3 linked regions of the Callithrix jacchus genome follow. The protein of the gene in region 2 purifies or fractionates together with the protein of the main gene of each other region. This does not show direct contact. Links are inferred from orthologs where the notes say so. Each region holds a gene or a part of one and is shown on either strand. Other genes may lie near its edges.

What was found.
Region 1: the proteins of ERLIN2 (region 2) and RNF170 purify together in Homo sapiens (affinity purification with mass spectrometry; 4 studies listed by BioGRID and IntAct, counting the BioPlex papers as one, with this or other methods). This does not show direct contact. The link is inferred for Callithrix jacchus from reciprocal best matches to the Homo sapiens genes ERLIN2 and RNF170.
Region 3: the proteins of ERLIN2 (region 2) and UBC purify together in Homo sapiens (affinity purification with mass spectrometry; 3 studies listed by BioGRID). This does not show direct contact. The link is inferred for Callithrix jacchus from reciprocal best matches to the Homo sapiens genes ERLIN2 and UBC.

The regions. Positions count from the first base shown.
Region 1 is NC_133514.1:44,622,397-44,626,464, forward strand, and holds the end of RNF170 (E3 ubiquitin-protein ligase RNF170), read right to left. Parts: coding exon 3,870-4,068; 3' UTR 909-3,869; downstream 1-908. UniProt on the Homo sapiens protein: E3 ubiquitin-protein ligase that plays an essential role in stimulus-induced inositol 1,4,5-trisphosphate receptor type 1 (ITPR1) ubiquitination and degradation via the endoplasmic reticulum-associated degradation (ERAD) pathway.
Region 2 is NC_133514.1:38,643,714-38,648,349, reverse strand, and holds part of ERLIN2 (erlin-2), read right to left. Parts: intron 4,634-4,636; exon of another isoform or gene 3,405-4,633; intron 1,928-3,404; coding exon 1,854-1,927; intron 1,695-1,853; coding exon 1,636-1,694; intron 1,091-1,635; coding exon 999-1,090; intron 169-998; coding exon 79-168; intron 1-78. UniProt on the Homo sapiens protein: Component of the ERLIN1/ERLIN2 complex which mediates the endoplasmic reticulum-associated degradation (ERAD) of inositol 1,4,5-trisphosphate receptors (IP3Rs) such as ITPR1.
Region 3 is NC_133510.1:128,100,268-128,104,412, forward strand, and holds UBC (polyubiquitin-C), read right to left. Parts: upstream 2,981-4,145; 5' UTR 2,966-2,980; coding exon 1,136-2,965; 3' UTR 1,069-1,135; downstream 1-1,068.

The DNA.
Region 1 (4,068 bases), about 6.0 Mb from region 2:
TCCAGCCAATTTATTTATTTTTTTGAGATGGAGTCTCACTCTGTCACCCAGGCTGGAGTGCAATGGCATGGTCTTGGCTGACTGCAACCTCTGCCTCCCGGGTTCAAGCGATTCTCCTGCCTCAGCCTCTGGAGTAGCTGGGACTACTGACACGTGTCACCATGCTCAGCTATTTTTTTGTATTTTAGTAGAGACGGGGTTTTTCTATGTTGGTGGCTGGTCTCAAACTCCTGACCTCGTGATCCGCCCATCTTGGCATCCCAAAGTGTTGGGATTACAGGCGTGAGCCACTGTGCCTGGCTGAATTACATATAATTTAAAACAATTTGTTGCATCGAATTGAATGTTGAATTTTTCTTTGTAAAACATCTCCATGACTAAATTTTCACTGCAGTCTGCCAATTAATTTATTTTCTTAATAGAAAAATAATTTTCAATGCTGGGCATGGCGGCTCACACCTGTAATCCCAGCACTTTGGAAGGCTGAGCCCAGGAGTTTGAGACTAGCCTGGACAACACAGCCAGACCATGTATCTACAAACTTTTTTTTTTTTATTAGCCAGGTGTGGTGGCACACACCTATAGTCCCAGCTACTTGGGAGGCTGAGGCCGGAGGATCACTTGAGCCCAGGAATTTGAGACTGCAGTGAGCTATGATTGTGCCACTGTACTCCAGCCTGGGCAACAGAGTGAGACTCCATCTGTCTCACTCCAACCCTGTCTCTGACCAACCAACCAACCAACAAACAAACAAACAAAAAAACCTAACAAAATTAATTAGAAATATGATGAGATATTAGATGTCCATTAATGATAACCAAAGCTATTGCAACCATTATACCAAATGCTCTTTCAGGAGTTCTGAAAGTAAACAAATGTTAAAGAAACAGAAAAATAACACCTTTAAATTTTTTAAGATATGTTGCTTTTATTCCAAAGAATAAAATGCTTGACAAACTCTTTAATCACAAGGATTGAACCAAACTACGTCTTCTACAACTCTGTGAGGTAGGTATCTGCACAGCCACAAGGGATCCACACGGTCCTTTCTTCCCTTTGAAACACTGAGAATTGTAGCAGTTGAAACCACTGTTCTAGTGGGCAGTTAGAACAGTTGTTTCCCTCATCTGGTTCCCCACAGAGCTGCCCAAGTTATTATTTGCTCCTGAGGTTGGACCATCTGTTTTATGACAGTTATGATATTGTTAAAAATCCGAATTGTTACTTTGATTTATATGATTTAACTCTGAATCACCTAAGTATTACTATGGTGTTCAAAACACTGATTGACTCTACTTGCTTTAAGAAGTCTCGGATCCCTTCTGAATTTATTATCAGAGATCAATAAAGATGACAATAAGCAGGTCTAAATTTCTGAGATGCTAGCATTTACCCTTTTCACAATTTAACAAGATTTAAGATCATTTAGTATTTTTTTATGTTATAAAATTTGGTACAATACACCTCTTTCAGGAAAGTCTTAGTAGTAACTCCAAATATTATAATTATTGTAACCAGAAATGTGACACTTGGAGCAGAACACATGCACACAAAATAAAATCCTGTCAAAAAATGACATCACCATCCCCCCACACCAAATGTATAATTGGTAGGAAATGCATTTCCAGTCTGGTACATGGCAGTTTGACAAACTCCTACTCATTTGCTTTTCAAGTTGGTGATTGCAGCTGATATGTTTTTCTGTGATGCATGCCACCCTGTTAGCTATTTGATTTGGAAGCGTAGAGTTAGGATTCATGCAGTCTTCAGGTGTCACCTCTACAAACCTTTCCTCTTACAAGTGCTTAAGCTGTCTTACTCTGATGGAAGTAATAAGGTAGCATGAAAGACTTCTAGAGAACCAGTTTCTCTCTTGCCGTTCCTCTTAACCTTCATGTCTATCTGAACATTCTGTGCAGGAGCCCTTCTAAGACATTTTGATTTAATGCCACTTGGATCAGTTATTTGTTGTGTGACTTCATTCAAAAACACTTTAATTGAAAGGGAAGGTAGTGCCCTGCATTCCTCACAAAATTGTCCAAAGGATAAAATGAAAAACGTGAGAAACTGCTTTAATTATAATGTGCTATGTTTAAGCATTATTGTCTTTCTCTATGACAAACAACAGCTCTGTCCTAGGTCCAAATTAGAAAAACACATATTGATATTTCATTCAGAATCTCATTAGTTGGTAGTTGATCTGATTTAACTAGAGAGAATGTGACAGATTTTGTCCTTGGCCCAGTCTGCATATAATTAGTCTCACTAATAAATTAATGGATTATTAATAGCAGTGATCTCAGATGACAATGCTAACATAGACTCCTGGGCATCCCTTCACATCCTGCCATCATACATTCACTAATGAGCAATGCCAGCCAAAGTGAGTCAGATCTCTCAATACTGTGTGGTATGGAGTCTTAAAATACATTCACTTGTTTGGCTCAAGACATGAATCTCTGCTGTGTGCTTCCATCTTGAGACAGTATTTTTTCTTTCTTTTTTTTTTGAGACGGAGTCTTGCTTTGTCTCCCAGGCTGGAGTGCAATGGTGCAATCTCGGCTCACTGCAACCTCTGCCTCCTGGTTGAAGGGATTCTCCTGCCTCAGCCTCCCTTGTAGATGGGATTACAGGCGCCTGCTACTGCACCCAGCTAATTTTTGTATTTTTTTACTAGAGATGGGGTTTTGCCATGTTGGCCAGCCTGGTCTTGAACTCCTGATCTCAAGTGATCCACCTGCCTCAGCCTCCCAAAGTGCTGGGGATTACAGGCGTGAGCCACCATGTTTATCCTTAAGACAGTATTATAAAAATTTCTGAAGGCGGGGAGGAAGGCAGCAGCAAATCACACTGCCACGTGTGTACCCATGCAACTATCTTGCATGTTCTTCACATGTATCCCAAAACCTAAAATGCAATTAAAAAAAAAGAAAAAAAATTTCTGACAACAGAAAACTAACCAAGTTTGTCGAATCTGTTGCTACAGTTAACCAGTAATTTCTGTTGTCAAATGTAAATACTGTTCCCTGTACCTTCCTATGGGCTTTGATGCCCAAAGACATGAAGATCCACGTTCTTCGGAAATGCATCAGGCTACTTTGTGTTTACAGCATCACCCAGGTTCCTAAAACAATCTCCCTTTATAAATTACTTTTATAGCTACTATTGAACTCTTGTTTAAATGTCGTAACTGTGAACATCAAGTGTGCTGACTGGAAATAAATGTTTTTCATCTTAATTCTATTGCTTAAAATGTGTTCTGTAAACTAGAATATGATACCGAAGTATGAAGTTCAAGTTTTTTCTTTCAGTTTCAGCTGATAACAAATAATTATACCAGAATGAAAAAGCAAAACTGCTCCAAATGCACAAAACTTAGCTAGCACTAAAAGAAATACTGAATTTTCCCCAATAGTGTATAATATTTTATTGTAACAAAAATATTTAGATGAATTTCACAGCTATATATTATCATATAGGTACCCGCTGAGAAGGATAAGGTAGATAAACTGTACATTTAACAACATTTTACTACACATCCAATTAATCTAAGTAATTTTGGGGAAAAAAAAAGATAAAAGGCTCCCTTTTTATGTAATTTCATATTTTTTCCAGACAACATAGAATCAAGATACAACTGTAGATAATTATAATTCTAAACTTAACATTAGAACCTGCAACATGTGAAAATTCCAGTTATATATTCCTAGGCATTTGTCAAATGATAATCAAATGTTTGTCTTATAGTGGTTTTATGTTTGTGAGATAATACTCCATTGCTTCATTGCTTTATACTGCCATGGGTCCTTCTGTTTGACGTTACACATTAGCTCAGATATCCTAGTAAACTTAGTTGTTTTTTTTTTTATTCATCTGGTTAGCCTTTGGGTTATCACTTCTCGATACATAATTGAGATGTAGATAAGCAATAAAAAGATGACAAAGAAATCATCTAGAAAGCCTAGAATTCCAAACAAGGCTTCAGGTACAAAATCTAGAGGGGATATAAGATAGAAAAAAGCTCCCATTAAACAAAGTATTATCCTGATGCGAAACATCCAGAAAAGG
Region 2 (4,636 bases):
GCAAAGGCAACAGCTCCCCCACCCACGGGCCACAGGGCGGGGTCTCAGAACGCAGGCATAAGCGTTGCTTCTGCTTACCTTCAATTTCTGAAATCTTCTTCTCAGTCTCCTTCTCCATCACCTTCTGCCCGTAGGTGATCTCAGCCACCTGTGCCACTTTTTCTGCCTCTGAAAAAATGACAGTGAGGAAAGACTTAGAGTTCTGGCATTTCAGAGTTTGACTGATTTCACCTTTCCCCCAAGCTGAGTGTCCTGGTGGGTCAGCTCGGCTGAAAAGCCCCCAGAGGATGGCGGTGAGGGCACACACGGGCAGAGTGGGATGTGCCAGTGAGCAGAGTCCCCTTCCATCAGCACAAGGCAGTAACCAAGGAGACCTGGGCCCAACATAGGAAGAATGAGCCCTAACTTCACAAGGGAACTTCTCCCAAAGGAATATTCTAAAGAATGCAGTACTCTAGTAGGGGTCTACCTGGCCCTTCAGTGCACACAGGGATCAGGTTTGTTGTTGATAATACGGTGCGGTGACTAAGAACATAGCTTCTAGAGCAAGTGTCCTTGGTTGGAGCCCCAGTTCCATCCCTTATTGCCATATGCCCTTGGGCACAGTATTTTACCCTTCTGTCCTTTGGTTCGATAAAATAAGATTAAGGATAATACAGTACCTACCCCACAAAGTGGTTGTGACAGTTGAGTTAACCCACGTATTAAGTGCTTAGGAAAATATGTGGCTCAATTAAGTATTAGCCATTATTATTATGAGTTAAGAATTAATAGGCAGGGCTCCTTTCATTTAAGAGGTAAGTGGAATCTCAAAACTCATTCCCGTTGGCCATGATCTGACAATTTCAACTTTGCTTCTGGGAGTCCACCTGCCATTCCTGTGCTGTGGAAGTGATTTGGAGGACCATGGGGTCTCAGCAGGCCTCAGCCTCCTTGCATCTTCCCACCACCCCCGGCCCTTCTGCCTGGAAAGGGGGATCACAGAACCACATTCAGACCAATGAGTGCCTTCTTCCGCTCTGTCTCTGCTTCCTTCTCCACCACCTTCTGCTTCTGGGCTGCAATGAGCAGCTTTGTCTTCTCACTTTCCCTGAAGAGGAAACAAAGCTGTGAGGCTGCTATGAGAAACTCAGGAACATCATTGTCCCCAGAAGAAGCTGAACTCTTCTACTGAAGAGAGGCAAACTCCTATTTCCTACTCCTCCTGGAAGGCTGTTCCATGGCCTAGGTAAAAGCTGATCTGTTGCCGACAGTAACACAGCTCTTCTCCCAAATAACTCATTTGTGGGAAATAAAATGTAATTTACTTTAGTAAAATACACCTGCCTGTCCACTTACTGGTCTCTTGCTTCTGTCTTCCCCTTAGGCATGAGTCACTGAATACAAACAAGGCCCCCTGGCCCTTTTCAAAGCATTATTGCTTTATAGGGCTTCTCCTGGGGTTCTTAATCACAGGTAGGGAGCCCCAGTCATGGCCCTGACACATCTGTCCAATCTTACAGTGCAGTGGGCTGTGGCAAATCCTCTAGCAAGGGGATAACCGAGAAGCCAGGCAGCTTCGGTTACCTCTGGGATGGGATGAGGTGGGAGGTGGGAGGCAGTGGTGGTCACAGTCCAGGCGGAGGGTATACTCACATCAACTCGTAGTTTCTGCGGATTGCCTCAGGTATGTTGGGCTTTGTCACCCGCACAGCCTGGAGAGAGATTAAAACAGCAGCTGATGGGAAAGTGAGGGTAGTGAGGGACACACACAGCTCCCACTGTCTTGATCTTCCTGCACAAAAAGAACATCCCTTGGGAGAAGGACCGCAGTGTCAGAGAGAGAGGGGCTGCCCCCATGCAGCAATGCTTACTTGAATGACCAGCCCAGGGGCCATGGAGGTCAGGTCCTGTTGCAAAGCCAGTTTGAGATTTTCATCAATCTGATCTGGAATAAAGTAAAGACAGAGGAAAAGGAGTTGTTACACTTTCTAAATGAGGGAGGGCATGATGAGGGTAAAGTACAAACTCAATCATCAGCTCAAGAATGTACCTTCCCAAGGGAGGGTGCTTATCAAAGCCCACAAGTCTAAAGACCCCCTGCCCAACTTCTGGAGTAGCCTGCACAGACAGCCCTCTACACAGCGAATGACAGGGCATCCTCTTTCTGTGCCTCAAGATACAACTCAACCTTTGTTGCTGAAAATACTAACCATGCCCTACAAGGGATGAACTTGAAAAAAAAAGAAAGGATACCAATTCTAGAACATTTCTTGCATGAGGCAGCAGCCTTTCCCTAGACAACAGCAGCAAAAGAGAAGGAAGATTCATAGTTTCCACAACGAAGGAAGGTGGAATGGCTATTTAGGTTTTGTGGAAAGAGCTGAGCACATTAAATCTAGTAATTTTAGAAGTTTCTAAAAGAAAAACAGACTTTGATGTCAAGGAGACCCCCAAGGAAGACTGTTTCTATTAGGAACTCCATCAAACAACACAAGGGAAAAATTAAAATTTACAGTTCTGGAAGTGACCCCAGGCTTTTGATGTGCTGTTTGCTTTGGGCCTTATTTCTTTGTCTGGAATTCACAAGAGTTGTTTTACAGACAAATGTAGGAATAGCTGTAACTGACTACCCCCTCTCCCTTCCTTTCCAGCTGCAGTCTCAGAACAGCAGCACGAAAGCTGCCTTCTCTGGCCTGGGCTTCTCAGATTTTAGAATCCTCTTCCTGCCTCTGCCCATGAGATCCTCGGTAGGATCCTGGAGGGGCTTAGAGAAAAAGACCGAGTGAAACCAGACTGGGACTTGTACACTGCATCTCTCCTTCACTGTCAGCTGCTATCTGCTTTAAGTGGTCCTTTTGTGGTCACCCGTGCCCAAACAAGAGCCTCGGAGGAAGAGAAAGTCTCTGTCCTTTTACTGATGCCAAAACGGAGGCGCGTGGAAACTGGCTAGTAGCCAAAATAACAAGCTTGTTTAATTGCTGGGCTTTGTTAGGATTTTAAGACAGTACTATCAGTAAACAAGGGACAGTAATGTTTCTACATATAGGAGGTGCTGTCACAAGCCTGTGAGCACCAAAGTCGGCACCTTCCACCTGCTAAGGGTCAACCAATATAACAACTAGAACTAAACATTACATTTCATATTTTAAGTAGCATATCAACCAAAGTGGCCCGTGTCCTCCATAAGTTAACACGTCACTCAACAGACCAAATTATATCTCAGTCAAGGTGGAAACCTGTGGCCCTGGGTTAGTAGCTTACTGGGAAAATGTGGAATACTTTGCAAGGTGTTTTAGTAATACTGATGTTTATATGTTACGGAAATGTGGATAAGGGCCATTTAGTTACATTACTAAGGTAGCCGCCGGGAAAAGACGCCTGGCGCGCTCGTGACGTCATTTCAGCGCGACCCTCTTGTATGCGTAATTTTTTTGGGCGGCTCCTAGGAACCATGCCGAAAGTAGTGTCTCGGTCAGTAGTCTGCTCTGACACTCGGAACCGGGAGGAATATGATGATGGCGAGAAGCCCCTCCATGTGTACTATTGTTTGTGCGGCCAGATGGTCCTACTGCTGGACTGTCAGTTAGAGAAACTGCCCATGAGGCCCCGGGACCGGTCCCGTGTGATTGATGCTGCCAAACATGCCCGTAAGTTTTGTAACACAGAAGACCAGGAGACTGTGTATCTGCGGAGACCTGAAGGCACTGAACGACAGCACAGAAAGAAATGTGCAAAGTGTGGACTGCTGCTCTTCTACCAATCCCAGCCGAATAACGCTCCTGTTACCTTCATTGTGGATGGAGCAGTAGTCAAGTTTGGCCAGGCCTTTGGGAAAACGAACATATATACTCAGAAACAAGAGCCTCCTAAGAAGGTGATGATGACCAAATGGACCAAAGACATGGGCAAGTTCACTTCTGTCACTGTGTCTACCATTGATGAAGAGGAAGAGGAGATTGAGGCTAGGGAAGTTGCTGACTCCTATGCACAGAATGCCAAAGTGATTGAAAAACAGCTGGAGCGCAAAGGCATGAGCAAGATGCGACTGCAAGAGCTGGCTGGACTGGAAGCCAAGAAAGCGAAAATGAAGGGGACCTTGATTGACAACCAGTTCAAATAACCAGGCCTTTTGCTGAGCCCTAGACTGGAGGCAAGCATTTAGATCAGGAGGCAAAATAATTTCTTGATTACATAGGCTGGTTCCTATTAATGTTCTAGCAGAAGTCTTTACATTGTTTCCCATTGATTCTCCTACATTCAGTGAGGTCTTTAACTGAGTCCATTTGACCTGCTTTCTAAAAGATGGATTTTTTCTCTGAATTTTTCTGTATTTAGGTTTTCTGTACTATTTTTTGTCTATTTGTGCAAACTTCTTCAGCTGTGTAGAAACTTTATGAATAGATCAGTGCTTGAGTGTCTCTAGTCTCTAAAGTGGCTGGTTTTAGTCTTTCTTCAAAGTTAGTAACATGTTTCAAGATTTTTGGACAAAATATTATGGTGTATCATAGAGAAAAGCAGCATGAATTATATTTAGGTATAGCAAATCAGATCGTTTGAGTGACTCTGTCTCTGTTCTTAGAAGGGTTCTTGGAATTGACTGTGGTTTGAATCTTTCTACTGTCAGAGGAGACCCAATAAAAGCCAGAATCTGCAT
Region 3 (4,145 bases), on a different chromosome or scaffold from region 2:
ATGTATTCACAATGAAAACTCGATGGATTTGCGGATTTCTCAAATTTTAGTCCATTAGCCCTAAAACTAAAGCTAAAACTGATTTAAGCCACCTTCAGGTGCTTTACAATTGCTGGAGCCAACATGAAATTCTTCCGGAGATGTTGTTCATGAATCCCCTAAAACTTGGAGAGGAGGGACGCTCCTTGGGACAAACCTTCCAAGGCCTCTAATGAGCCTCTGGATGACCTCTGGGATGCCTACTGCCTGGTGTCCATCCCTTGTATTAAACCAGTTTCTCTGCAACTTCCACCTTTGGTGCTAGTCAACATGAACACCTTACTAGTACCGTCTGATTGGGTGAATGCTACTATACACTTGAGACAAACCAAGAAGTCAATTGCTTCACCTACTAGTTACATGCCTGTCCACCTTACTTGACAATTTCAGCAAAAAACTGCTTGAATAGCTTTTATTCTCTAAACACTAATTCTACACCATGACAACTATGCCTTTTTCCACCTGCAACGTCCTTTTAAAATCACTTGATCCCAGGACTGTGTGTGCAGCTCAACATACATTTACTAGGCCTATGTACTTCATTCTTTCACAGGGACCCTCTCATCACTCCCACCTTTTAATATTCCTTCTCCCTTCCTGTTACCTCACACACCCCCAACCAGTATTTTTAAGTAACTTGAAAAAGTATCTCCCAATAACCTGATTACGACAGTCTTGCTCTGTTCCCCCAGGTGGAAGTACCGTGCTGCGATCTCAAATCACTGCCAACCTCTGCCTCCTGGGTTCAAGGGATTCTCCTGCCTCAGCCTCCGGTGTAGCTGGGATTACAAGCACCTGCCACACCTTTTTGTATTTTCAGTAGAGCTGGGGTTTCACCATGTTGGCCAAGCTGGTCTTGAACCTGCGTTTTATTTGCACCCACTTTCTACAGTTCATATTGTAAATCTACCTCCCCCCATTCACTGACATTTCATGGTTACCACGGTAACATTTGCGGACTGGAAACCTTGATCCCCTTCACCCTATCTAATGCAAAAATACCTTAACTTAAAAAAAAACCCACACCAATTGGGAATGCAACAACTTTATTGAAAGAAAAGTGCAATGAGATTTGTTGAAACCTTAAAGGGGAAACTTAAACACCCCCCCTCAAGCGCAGGACCAAGTGCAGAGTGGACTCTTTCTGGATATTGTAATCAGAGAGGGTGCGCCCATCTTCCAGCTGCTTTCCGGCAAAGATCAACCTCTGCTGGTCAGGAGGGATGCCTTCCTTGTCTTGGATCTTTGCCTTGACGTTCTCAATGGTGTCACTGGGCTCGACCTCAAGGGTGATGGTCTTACCGGTCAGGGTCTTCACGAAGATCTGCATGCCACCTCGGAGACGGAGAACGAGATGAAGGGTAGACTCTTTCTGGATGTTGTAGTCAGACAGGGTGCGCCCATCTTCCAGCTGCTTTCCGGCAAAGATCAACCTCTGCTGGTCAGGAGGGATTCCCTCCTTGTCCTGGATCTTTGCCTTGACGTTCTCAATGGTGTCACTGGGCTCGACCTCAAGGGTGATGGTCTTACCAGTCAGGGTCTTCACGAAGATCTGCATGCCACCTCTGAGACGGAGGACAAGGTGCAGAGTGGACTCTTTCTGGATGTTGTAGTCAGACAGGGTGCGCCCATCTTCCAGCTGCTTTCCGGCAAAGATCAACCTCTGCTGGTCAGGAGGGATACCTTCCTTGTCTTGGATCTTGGCCTTGACGTTCTCAATGGTGTCACTGGGCTCGACCTCAAGGGTGATGGTCTTACCAGTCAGGGTCTTCACGAAGATCTGCATGCCACCTCGGAGACGGAGAACGAGGTGAAGGGTGGACTCCTTCTGGATATTGTAATCAGACAGGGTGCGCCCATCTTCCAGCTGCTTTCCAGCAAAGATCAACCTCTGCTGGTCAGGAGGGATACCCTCCTTGTCTTGGATCTTGGCCTTGACATTCTCGATGGTGTCACTGGGCTCGACCTCAAGGGTGATGGTCTTACCAGTCAGGGTCTTCACGAAGATCTGCATGCCACCTCTGAGACGGAGGACGAGGTGCAGAGTGGACTCTTTCTGAATGTTGTAGTCAGACAGGGTGCGCCCATCTTCCAGCTGCTTTCCGGCAAAGATCAACCTCTGCTGGTCAGGAGGGATGCCCTCCTTGTCCTGGATCTTGGCCTTGACGTTCTCGATGGTGTCACTGGGCTCGACTTCAAGGGTGATGGTCTTGCCGGTCAGGGTCTTCACGAAGATCTGCATGCCACCTCGGAGACGGAGGACGAGATGAAGGGTAGACTCTTTCTGGATGTTGTAGTCAGACAGGGTGCGCCCATCTTCCAGCTGCTTTCCGGCAAAGATCAACCTCTGCTGGTCAGGAGGGATGCCTTCCTTGTCCTGGATCTTGGCCTTGACATTCTCAATGGTGTCACTGGGCTCGACCTCAAGGGTGATGGTCTTACCAGTCAGGGTCTTCACGAAGATCTGCATGCCACCTCGGAGACGGAGGACAAGGTGCAGAGTGGACTCCTTCTGGATATTGTAGTCAGACAGGGTGCGCCCATCTTCCAGCTGCTTTCCGGCAAAGATCAACCTCTGCTGGTCAGGAGGGATGCCTTCCTTGTCCTGGATCTTGGCCTTGACATTCTCAATGGTGTCACTGGGCTCGACCTCAAGGGTGATGGTCTTACCAGTCAGGGTCTTCACGAAGATCTGCATGCCACCTCGGAGACGGAGGACAAGGTGCAGAGTGGACTCCTTCTGGATATTGTAGTCAGACAGGGTGCGCCCATCTTCCAGCTGCTTTCCGGCAAAGATCAACCTCTGCTGGTCAGGAGGGATGCCTTCCTTGTCCTGGATCTTGGCCTTGACGTTCTCAATGGTGTCACTGGGCTCGACCTCAAGGGTGATGGTCTTGCCGGTCAGGGTCTTCACGAAGATCTGCATTGTCTGTTTTGACAAAAAGCCAAAAACCACCAGGATTTAGCAATTTATTAGCCTTCCTAATGCTGTAAGTTAAATGTCACATTGACCCAAACAATTAAAACTTGCGTTACTTCACAAAACACACTCACCAGCCTGTTTTCAAAACCCAGGCTTCAACTCCTTACAACCGTAGGTACACAAAACCGACCGAAGACACTGAAGCCTCGCTTACCCTTCCCTCTCGGGAGGTCTGGCGCCTGTCGATTCAGGAGGTCCTACCCTAGGCCCAACCCTGCGTCCTGCGACGGAGAAGAGCCCACCGCTCACCTCCCGGCAGGTGGCCCCGCCCCGCAATTATGAGCCGACAGAACGAGAACGGGTGACGTCACCACAGAGCGAAGGCGCGCTCTCCCCCCCCCACAGCGCGCCCCATTGCCGCGCGGCCACGCGGTAACCGCTACCCCCGCAACGGACAAGACGAGCTCTCCAGTCAATCACAAACTTCACGTCAGGGTCCCCCAATGGTGCCCCAGCCCATCCCACGAGAATCAGAGCTTTCCGGCATTAGCGAAGGCCTCCAAGCCTTGAGTCCATGCCCCCCAACCTTGTTTCAACGACCTCACGGCCCGCCTCACAGGCGTCTTCCACGCAGCGCTCGGAACAGCCGCCATTTTGCTGCGTTCTCCCCACCTCAAGCCCACCTTTCTAGCGGACACAGCCGACAGCCCTCCCCAGTCTCTAGACCCGGGGCGGCAACCCGCCTCCATCCCACCTCGCGGCCGTTCGGCCCCGAAAGCCCCAGCCCGCCCAGAACCCCACTGCTCACCAAGCGGCGATGACAGCAACGGACAAACCACGAACACAACTGCACTCCCGGCTGCGACGGAACTAGCTGCACCACGCCCGGAGCGTCCTTATATAGTCATCGGCGTACACCGCCCCGAGGAGATCCCTCCGCAGAACCGCCGAGAAGGGACTATTTTTCCCCGCCTGTTCCGCTCTCTGGAAAGAAAACCAGTTCCCTAGAGTCACCCAGGTCCCGTCCTAAAATGTCCTCCTGCTGAGACTGGGGTTCTGGGCCGAGTCTGGTGGGCAGCGGGCCGCCGTCCTGAGAGGCCGGGCGGAGGGATCAAGGCACTAGCTGCGCACTGCGATTGTGACGTAGCGGCGCTCGCCGTGGGGAGGGAGCCGCCCGCGGGAG